Linked DNA regions of Callithrix jacchus. The protein of the gene in region 1 purifies or fractionates together with the protein of each later gene. This does not show direct contact. Links are inferred from orthologs where the notes say so. Each region holds a gene or a part of one and is shown on either strand. Other genes may lie near its edges.

Evidence for each region.
Region 2: the proteins of CBX5 (region 1) and MECP2 purify together in Homo sapiens (affinity purification with western blotting; 3 studies listed by BioGRID, with this or other methods). This does not show direct contact. The link is inferred for Callithrix jacchus from reciprocal best matches to the Homo sapiens genes CBX5 and MECP2.
Region 3: the proteins of CBX5 (region 1) and AHDC1 purify together in Homo sapiens (affinity purification with mass spectrometry; 3 studies listed by BioGRID and IntAct, with this or other methods). This does not show direct contact. The link is inferred for Callithrix jacchus from reciprocal best matches to the Homo sapiens genes CBX5 and AHDC1.

What each region holds. Positions count from the first base shown.
Region 1 is NC_133510.1:65,302,373-65,305,940, reverse strand, and holds part of CBX5 (chromobox protein homolog 5), read right to left. Parts: coding exon 3,407-3,568; intron 1-3,406. UniProt on the Homo sapiens protein: Component of heterochromatin that recognizes and binds histone H3 tails methylated at 'Lys-9' (H3K9me), leading to epigenetic repression. In contrast, it is excluded from chromatin when 'Tyr-41' of histone H3 is phosphorylated (H3Y41ph).
Region 2 is NC_133524.1:149,941,916-149,945,346, forward strand, and holds part of MECP2 (methyl-CpG-binding protein 2), read right to left. Parts: coding exon 2,749-3,431; 3' UTR 1-2,748. UniProt on the Homo sapiens protein: Chromosomal protein that binds to methylated DNA. It can bind specifically to a single methyl-CpG pair. It is not influenced by sequences flanking the methyl-CpGs.
Region 3 is NC_133508.1:64,215,342-64,218,909, reverse strand, and holds part of AHDC1 (transcription factor Gibbin), read left to right. Parts: coding exon 1-1,091; 3' UTR 1,092-1,134; intron 1,135-3,568. UniProt on the Homo sapiens protein: Transcription factor required for the proper patterning of the epidermis, which plays a key role in early epithelial morphogenesis. Directly binds promoter and enhancer regions and acts by maintaining local enhancer-promoter chromatin architecture.

The DNA of each region.
Region 1 (3,568 bases):
AGAGTCTCCCTCTGTTGCCCAGACTGGAGTGCAACAGCATAATCTGAGCTCACTGCAACCTCCGCCTCCTAGATTCAAGTGATTCTTCTTTCTCAGCCTCCCAAGTAGCTGGAATTACAGGCGTGCGCTACTGGGCCTGGCTAGTTATTGCATCTTTAATAGAGACGGGGGGCTAACCATGTTGGCCAGGCTGGTCTCAAACTCCTCAGGTGGTCTGCCTGCCTTGGCCTCCTAAAGTGCTGAAATTACAGGTGTGAGCCACTGCACCTGGCCATGCCTGGATAATTTTTGTATTTTTAGTAGAGACAGGGTTTCACCATGTTGACTAGGCTAGTCTCAAACTCCTGGCCTCAAATGATCCACCCACCTTTGCCTCCCACAGAGCTGGGATTATAGGTGTGAGCCTCCGTACCCAGCCCAAGCTAGGTAATTTTTAAAAACTTTATTATGGAAGATAATGTTAGCCTCTCCAGTGGCAACACAAAAAAAGATTCAGAGATGCCCAAATGAGCTAAATCTCTACTGATGATTCTTATAGTAAAATCTTTTTGATCTGATTATGTTCACCTTGCTTTCCTCAGACACAGAAAGCATTTGGGGTCTTGGTGGTCCCCAAAGATACCAAAATCCTCAATAGGAAGGAAATTCCATGCATGAATCATTGAAAGATACTGACTTTTAAAAACATAGCCTCTTTGGGGGGTGCTTAAGGGGAAGAAGTTCCCAGATGTGCACACAGCTGCTCACAGCTGGAATGCTGGCACATGGACTAAGTTGTAAATCATAGCTGACAGCTGAAAACAGTTTGCTATATAGAGGGGGGAAGGGGTGGGCAAATGGAAGAAAAATGTTCAAGCTGCTGAAAAGGAGCCGAAGCGAAGAAAACGCTAAAATCATCATACAGGCAGTAATCTTAAATCAGGCATAATGCAGACTAACAAATTTCTTCTGCAGTGGTCTTAAGAAAAAAATGCAATCCCCTCCTCTGTACCTTTAAAACATATAATCACCTATTTTCCCAACTGTCTACCTGACAGCAACCAGTACTGCTAGAATGCTATCAGGGGCCCCAGATGAACATTATGATCTAAGGGACACGTAGGGGTTGTTTTCAAGGTCGGCAGCTTCAGAACCTGGCCTAGGAACAAAACTCTCTGCACTGACCAGTGTCTCTAAGCCAGATAATTCAGGCTGCTCATTTTTAAAAAGGACAGAGGTTGGTCACGATGGCTCACGACTGTAATTCCAGCACTTTGGGAGGCCAAGGCAGGCAGATCACAAGGTCAGGAGATCAAGACCATCCTGACTAACATGGGGAAATCCCATCTCTACTAAAAATATAAAAAATTAGCCGGGCATGGTGGCACACACCTGTAGTCCCCACTACTTGGGAGGCTGAGGCAGGAGAATCACTTGAACCCAGGAGGTGGAGGCTGCAGTGAGCAGAGATCACACCACTGCACTCCAGCCTGAGCGACAGAGTGAGACTCTGTCAAAATAAATAAATAAATAAATAAATTTAATTTAATTGTAATTTTACTGGTCTGGGGTGCATCTTAGGCACTGGATAATTTTTTTTTTTTTAAAGCACTGTCCAGGTGAGTATAATGTGTAGCCAGGATTGAGAACTAATGCTCTAGAAAGTTAGATATCTAAGTAGAATGAAGATAATAGGGATGCTTGTGACAGAGATGCTGGAAGATTCAGAAGTAGACTTATGCTTTTATTAATCGTAAAGTGTATGATACAGCCTTCACCACAAAATGCTTGATAACCTTGAAATAAATGAAAGGAATAGAAGCTGGGCGGGGGGCAGGAGGAGGTGGTAGAGTGTGTATATTTATGCACCCACACACAGTTGAAAAAAGACAAACAATAACAGTGCTCATAATGCTAGTTGCTTGAGAGCTAAAGAGCAGAAGGATTAAAGCAATTAAATCAAACCAAAATGTTGTAAATATACTTCCCAAACTGAAGAAGATTCAAAAGACAAAAATTAATTTTATATTCCAAGTATGTAGAAATAATAGATCAAGAGAATATAAATGCTATTGAACTGTACACTTTAAAATTATTAATTGAGCCCGGTGTACTGGCTCAAACCTGTAATCCCAGCACTTTGGGAGGCTCAGGTGGAAGGATCACCTGAGGTCGGGAGTTTGAGATCACCCTGACCAACATGGAGCCCATCTCTACTAAAAATACAAAATTAGTTAGGCATGATGGGACATGCCTATAATCCCAGCTACTCAGGAAGGCTGAGGCAGGAGAACTGCTTAAAGCCGGGAGGCGGAGGCTGTGGTGAGCTGAGATCGCGCCATTGCACCCCAGCCTGGGCAACGAGAATGAAATTCCATCTCAAATAAATAAATAATAAAAATACAAATACAAAAATCAGCTGGGTGTGGTGGCACAAGCCTGTAATCTCAACTACTCAGAAGGCTCAGACAAGAGAATCATTTCAACCCAGGAGGCAGAGGTTACAGTAAGTCCTGATTGTGCCACTGCACTCCAGCCTGAATGACAGACTCCATCTCAAAACATAAATAAAGAAAAATAAATAGAATCAGCCAGGCGTGGTGGCTCATGCCTGTAATCCCAGCACTTTGGGAGGCAGGAGATCAAGACCATCCTGGCTGACATGATAAAACCCTGTCTCTACCAAAAAATACAAACAAAGGGCAGGCACGGTGGCTCAAGCCTGTAATCCCAGCACTTTGGGAAGCCGAGGCGGGCGGATCAGACCATCCTGGCCAACATGGTGAAACCTCGTCTCTACTAAAAATATAAAAAAAAATTAGCTGGCCATGGTGGCGTGCGCCTGTAGTCCGTCCCAGCTACCTGGGAGGCTGAGGCAGGAGAATTGCTTGAACCCGGGAGGTGGAGGTTGCAGTGAGTCGAGATCACACCACTGCACTCTAGCATGGGTGACAGACTGAGACTCTGTCTCAAAATAAATAAATAAAATCGTTAATAGTACATTATGATTTTCACTGCAAAAAAAGATTATCAAGGATTACAAACAAGGACTATTATTGGAACAAGAAAAAAGAAAGTAGCAAACATTTCAAAGCCCCTTTCTATTCTTAAAAAATTCACCGATGATACTTATTCTCTAAAATGACTAAGTCTTCTATTTATGGAGAAGGCAGAAGAGTGATTTAATGTTTTACAAATACTTAATTTTGCCACCTTAATACAATTCAGTGGCCACAAATTACATTTCTCACTCAGCCAGGAGAGGGAGCTATAATCAACATACCTCCCTGCAAGCTCTTTTGTTCAACAATTTACCTTATAGGTCCATCCTTGTAACAGAAATAACCAAAATACGATACTTTTATTTATTATTATGATTTTGGTGACAAAAGGATAGTTTGTGGGGGAAAAAGGAAAGGAAGCTTACCTCTCTCTTTTTTTTAGATTTGATATCATCAGCACTGTTAGAGAAATTGGATTTCCTTTTATTACTTTCTGACTTTTCCCTGGGTTTGTTATTTTCACCCTCCTTCATCTTCTTATACTTTTTCATAAACTCAGAAATTAGCTCAGGGCAATCCAAGTTTTT
Region 2 (3,431 bases), on another chromosome or scaffold:
GCCATATTGCATTGGACTAAGAATAATGCATAAATAGCCAACTGACCAAAATAAACATCTCAGTGACAACCTGGTTGGATGCTGCGCTCTTGTGGATAAGTGTCCTTTGGTGGTGCCAGGAGTGCGAGGCCACTGTGGGGGCAGGAGCCTTTTGTCCTTGGAGGAAGAGTCTAGAGGACTCACCCTCTCCTCTGACTCCTCTTCCCTTCCTGGGGAAGAGTCAGAAGTGAAGCTGTGTGGGGGAGTGGGCAGCAGAGCAGGTGGAAGGGATCAGGGATCAGGGATTGGGCTGATGGGAGTTTGGTTGCAGGACTTGTTTTACAGCATAAGGAAATGGATACATAAATGCTCAAAAGTCCAACTTTGAGACTCTACAAACAGAATGGGGCAAACTCCCTCACTTCTAGCCATTCCAGAAGGGACAAACACATTTTTTTTCTTAAGCTACTGATTGGAACTGTCAACTATGGTTCCTGATCACTACAGACTGGCAAGGAAGTGCTAGACAGTTTCTATGGTGTTTCACTCCTTCATGATTACACCGCAGTAAGGAAGCCAGGGGACAGTAACTGAAATACACAAGACAACACGCACTTGACAGTTCATGGCAGCAGCTCACATGGGACATGCCCGTGGGTGTTTCTGTCTCATTTGCTGCTTTGATAAGGTACTTCTCAGTTGGACAGATTTAGATATGAGAGACATCTCTGTAAACACAGAAAAGGATATACCAATATGATGAAGATATGCAGCTAGATAAGGACTTCCTGAACAGAGGTTAAAAAGATGGGATCCCAAATGAAAACTAGTCAATTAAAAACCCACAGCAAGCCCACGCCTCTAAACCCTGCACCACGCCTATGGACCAGAGTGAAATGTGTGCTGTTCCGGCCCCACTGCATTAAGCAAAAGCAAAACACTTCCATTAGAAAAGAACTCCAAGGGAAAAGGGGAGCAGAGAAGGGACGGGGACCTAGGTGCTGGTTCCAGCTCTGGTATCGAAAGTTCTGCATCAGCACCGCTGCTGCTGCGCTGTATACTACACTAGACTCTGGACTTCTGAGTGAGGTCAAGGTCGGGTGGCATGGAGCCCTTGTTGGGCTACTCGATGACTGGTAGGCCATAGGGGGCCTCTGCACTTTCCTCAGCTACCAAATCCGGCCCAGCTCCTCCAGTCCACTTATCTAGAGTAGAAGGATGAAAAGGCTCATTGTTCAGGGTGGGAAATGCCTTTTGCTTTTTCTTACCAGGGAAGTGGGGGCTACCTAGGAGAGCAACACCTTGCTGCTCTCTTGCTCTTCATAGACAGGCCAGGTTGGACTCGGTGGAGCCCAAGGCCTCCTTAGGGCTCAAAACAGGGTGGGGCTGGTACTGGCAGCAGGAAGACAAAGGGCAGGCAGAGTTCTAGGGACTGGAGCCGACAAGTGTGGTTGGGCACCACGGCTGCCTGGAACAGAAGGAATGAACTAGGAGGAGGAAGGGAAAGAAGTGAAAGGATGAAATGAACAAAAGGCAGAAATGGAAGGGGAGAAGAGAAACCAATCAGGAAGTCCTTATAAAATTGCAGCAAACACTTAGAGTTTCGGAGCTTCGTGGGAACCCTATGTGCTGAGCCCACTTTAAAACAAGCGCAGGTATATATACAAATCCAGGTAGTTCTCAACACCGTCACATCTGGTGGCTTGAGGGACCAAATGTCACCAATTCAAGCCAGTTTGCTCTCAGAGCATCTGTTTGTTTTGAAGTGGGAACATGAAGATTCAATAGTGCAAATAATTCTAAGCTGTCCCTAAAGGGGTAGAATTGGAAAGTAACTGAAACATTTTCTTCTCCTCACTCCTTGCCCCTCCCCTGTCCACTAAGTCCCTAACTACGAGTCACAGACTGCTCTGAGAGATTAGGAATCTCTCTCAGCCCGCTGTGCTCGGCCTGGCCCGACCCGGGCCAGCCTGCCCGCACCTTGTCCTACTGCCTCCATGGCCTCTCTAGCGCTACCCACTGGAGGACGTCCCTTGAGAATGGACGATGCCACCTCACCCTGGGCCATCCTCTCCTGTGGTTTAGGCTAGTCTACACCTAGTAGTTCAAGGGATGACTCCCTCCTAGCCATGCCAGAGCTGGAGCAGACAGGTACCACTTTCCTTTCCTGTGAAGTGTCCTTGCCAGTTTTGGATTGGGGCTGGTGTGGGGCCAGACTTGAGCCACCACAGGTGGGATCGCATGGGCCATAGCCAGTGATCATAGCCATCTTCTCTAAACAAGCCAACTGTCTCTCCTGCCTCACACCTCCCTGTCCCAACATGGTTGGGAGTGGGGGAGGTGGGGGGAGCTGGGGGAGCTGTAGACAGAGCACTGATGGCACCGAAAAAGGGAGTGTCCTCTCAACTGTCTCTAACGACCACATGGGGGAAAGGTTTGGGCAGGAAGGGAGGTGCCTGGTCAACAGCTTGTCTGGTCAGTAGTATCTGCAGCAAGCCTTGTTGAAGGAGCCTAGTTTAGAAAAGTGCAAAGCTACTTCCGGCCCTGGTTAGGTCTTCAACCTGACTGTGCTTGTCGGTAAGAAAAACATCCCCAATGCTCCAACTACTCCCACCCTGAAGCCACGAAACTCTAAGTTTACTGAAAGAAAAAAAAATATTTTTTATTTCAGTTAATCGGGAAGCTTTGTCAGAGCCCTACCCATAAGGAGAAGAGACAACAGCTGCCTTTATTCTTGTTGGTTTGCTTTGCAATCCGCTCTGCGTAAAGTCAGCTAACTCTCTCGGTCACGGGCGTCCGGCTGTCCACAGGCTCCTCTCTGTTTGGCCTTGGCATGGAGGATGAAACAATGTCTTTGCGCTCTCCCTCCCCTCGGTGTTTGTACTTTTCTGCGGCCGTGGCGGCGGTAGCGACCGCGGGCTGAGTCTTAGCTGGCTCCTTGGGGCAGCCGTCGCTCTCCAGCGAGCCTCCTCTGGGCATCTTCTCCTCTTTGCAGACGCTGCTGCTCAAGTCCTGGGGCTCAGGGGGGCTGGTGGGGTCCTCGGAGCTCTCGGGCTCAGGTGGGGGTGGGGGCAGGGGTGGGAGCAGTGGCACGGGGGCCTTTGGGGACTCTGAGTGGTGGTGATGGTGGTGGTGCTCCTTCTTGGGGGGCGAGGAGGCGCTGCTGCTGCGCCCCTTGGGGCTGCTCTCCTTGCTTTTCCGCCCTGGGCTCTTACAGGTCTTCAGTCCCTTCCCACTCTTCTCACCGAGGGTGGACACCAGCAGGGGCTTCACCACTTCCTTGACCTCGATGCTGACCGTCTCCCGGGTCTTGCGCTTCTTGATGGGGAGTACGGTCTCCTGCACAGATCGGATAGAAGACTCCTTCACGGCTTTCTTTTTGGCCTCGGCAGCAGCGGCTGCCACCACACTCCCTGGCTTTCGGCCCCGTTTCTTGGGAATGGCCTGAGGGT
Region 3 (3,568 bases), on another chromosome or scaffold:
TCGAGGCCTCACATCTGGGCTTCCCAACATCCGCCTCTGCTGCTGCCTCAGGCTACCCATCCAAACGGAGCACTGGGCCCCGGCAGCCACGGGGTGGACGGGGCGGTGGGGCCTGCTCAGCTAAGAAGGAGCGGGGTGGCGCAGCGGCCAAAGCCAAGTTCATCCCCAAGCCACAGCCGGTCAACCCACTGTTCCAGGACAGTCCCGACCTCGGCCTGGACTACTATAGTGGGGACAGCAGCATGTCACCACTGCCCTCATCACAGTCGAGGGCCTTTGGTGTGGGAGATCGAGACCCCTGTGACTTCATAGGACCCTACTCCATGAATCCGTCCACGCCTTCTGACGGCACCTTCGGCCAAGGCTTCCACTGCGACTCTCCCAGCCTGGGTGCTCCCGAGCTTGATGGCAAGCATTTCCCACCACTGGCCCACCCACCCACGGTGTTCGACGCCGGCCTGCAGAAGGCATATTCACCCACCTGCTCACCCACGCTGGGCTTCAAGGAAGAGCTGCGGCCACCGCCCACAAAACTGGCTGCCTGCGAGCCCCTCAAGCATGGGCTCCAGGGGGCCAGCCTGGGCCATGCAGCTGCAGCCCAGGCCCACTTGAGCTGCCGGGACCTGCCACTGGGCCAGCCCCACTACGATTCCCCCAGCTGCAAGGGCACAGCATACTGGTACCCACCAGGCTCAGCTGCCCGCAGCCCGCCCTATGAAGGCAAGGTGGGTACAGGGCTGCTGGCTGACTTCCTGGGCAGGACGGAGGCCGCATGCCTCAGTGCCCCTCACCTGGCTAGCCCACCAGCCACACCCAAGGCCGACAAGGAGCCACTGGAGATGGCCCGGCCGCCCGGCCCACCCCGTGGCCCTGCTGCAGCTGCTGCTGGCTATGGCTGCCCACTCCTTAGTGACTTGACCCTGTCCCCCGTGCCGAGGGACTCACTGCTGCCCCTGCAGGACACTGCCTACAGGTACCCAGGCTTTATGCCGCAGGCGCATCCCGGCCTAGGTGGGGGCCCCAAGAGCGGCTTCCTGGGGCCCATGGCGGAACCTCACCCTGAGGACACATTCACCGTCACGTCCCTGTAGTGCCAACTGAAGTGCCGACTGGACCGCGAGGTTTTGTTCCTGGGTGAGTCTGGGGATGTGGGCACAGCGGGCAAAGGCCCGGGGGTGGGGAGAGGACATCAGAGCTTAGTCAAGGACAGAGGTATGGAGTGAGCAGGAAGCAGGTGAAGGATTTAAGGGCAAGGCTGGGACCAGCGGCAGGGAGTAGGGATCCGCTGCTGTGGACAGTCTCAGGAGGAGGTGGGGTGCTGGGGCTGGGAACTCAGCAGGCGACTTGGACGTTCAAGGAGTCTTGTTAATTGAAATGGCCGGAGGACCATAGACTGGATGGGGCCCTGGCGTTTGGTTTATCAAGTTTTCATTTCCTTTGTTCATGCCATGTCTTGGGCAGGAAGTATTTCCCAGGAAATACACTGATAACAGTGGGCATTTGCATCACCCTGTGTGAGACAGGTGAAGGGAGAAGCAGGTTGGATGGTCACCTACCCAGGGCCTATTCAGAGGACCAGCCCTGCTGGTACCCCCATTTCCCTGGGAGCTTCATTGATTCTAAGAGGCAGCCTGGTGAGGGCCAGGTCAAGAGAGTGGCCAGGACGGCTTGGTCACACACTCTGCAAGGACTTCACAGGATGGCTCAAAGTGTCCTCTCTTGGCCTCCCAAGGTGCCCCCAAGAGCTGTTTTCCAACATCTGTGACCTGAGGTAGGCTAGGTGTGGCCAGGAGCATGTGGGGTAGGGACCCAGAAGTGGAGAAGGGGTGCTGGGATCCCACCGTCCCTGCAAACGTGCAGCCATGGGGACTACCTTCAGGCAAGATATTTTGACCCTGGAAAAGCCAGTCCCTTTCCTGAAGCTTTTCTGCGAGTTCAGTGAAAGAGTTTTAAATGTTTAGATGCTGTTTTTATCAGGTACTGTGACCTCATTAATTGGAGTCAGTTTTAGTATTCTCAAGATTTGGTGTTTTAAAAAGGAAAATAAAAGACAGAAAACGCCCCCAAAATGATCAAAGGGAATAGGGTAGAAGGAGTCATTTTCTTGAAGAACAGCCTGCTCCAGAAATTAGCCACCACAGGCCCCACTCTAGGACAACAGATCTGTCACAAAATTGACCCAGATGTGGCGGTTGGTGGCGGGGTAAGCCGGAGGCATGTCTGAGCCCCTCACCCTTCCCTTCTGCTGCCACTGAAGCTTCCTGGGAGTTTCTCTTCCTGGAGGAGTAGCTGGGCTCCTGGAAAACCCCATCTGTGCTCTGGGAGGCCATTCAAGGCCAGGGTGACTCAGGGTCCTGAAGTCATTATTACCCCCTCTCTGCCAGACCCTAGCTCCCCTGGTGCCTGAAGGTGACAAAGGGCAGCATGCGGGAATCAGGAGGCCTGGGGGAGGACCATTCCTGGATTGGTCACCAATTTGCTGCATGCCCTCGACCAAGCTTTTGCTCCTCTCTAAGCCTCAGTTTCCCCATCTTTTCAAGGAAATTTACTTTGATAACCCCTTAGGCTCTTGTGTAGCTCTGCATGGCAGAGACAATGAAGCAAACTTTTTTTTTTTTGGCAGCATCTCTTTCTTCCTAATGAAGCCAGGCCAAGATTAAAATGGCCTTCCATTCCCCATGCATCTCATTGCAAGCAGCAGAGGCTCAGATCTGAAGCAGGCCAGGGAGAAGCTGCTTAGGGTTTAAAATGTCAAACTCTTGATCCTTCTCACTGGAGGGGAGATGTCTCATGGATAATCCAGAAATGTGAAATAATCCAAAACTGTTCCTCCCAGGCTCTGGGTGGGAAAATGGACGGGTGTGGGGGCTGGGTATTTGGGCAGGTCACAGCTCAGTGAAATACATAATGGAACCACCCAGTGAGGTCTGAACGAAGGAGGAACTGGGATGCCATCCAGCCCCACATTCTGGCCCTGCTCCCCACTCAGGGCTGGGAGTTACCAGCTCTGTCCTCAAACCAATGCATTCCATTGTTCTAGAGACATCTGTCCAACACCCACTAGATGCCAGGCATTGGGGCACCACAGTGAACACCACAAATGAGGTACTGGTCCTCAGGGGGCTTCCCATTTAAAGGGAAAGACAACAAACAGTGGCATAAAGCATATGATGATTCCAGCTATGGGAAACACTGTGTAAGCCAAAAAAGCTAGAAGCTTGTAAGTGCACACAGCATGCTGACCGGACCTTGAAGCTGAACCTGAGGGATGAGGGGGCTGGACAGCTGGAGGGGAGTGGGAAGAGCATTCTGGGCAAAGGGAACAGCAGTGTGGAAAGCCTGGAGGCAGGAAGGGGCTCAGCTTTGAGGATCTGCCTATGGGAAGGCCATAAAGTTAAGTGAGGGGATGAGGCAGGCGAGGCCAGATCATGTGGGACATTGGAAGGAGTCTGAACTTCATTCCCAGACACACGGGGATCCACTGAAGAGTTCCCAGCTGGAATTCCCCAGGCCACCATGGAGCAGGGCTAGTGTTGAAGCAGGGAGACCAGCTGCAGTGGTCGACACA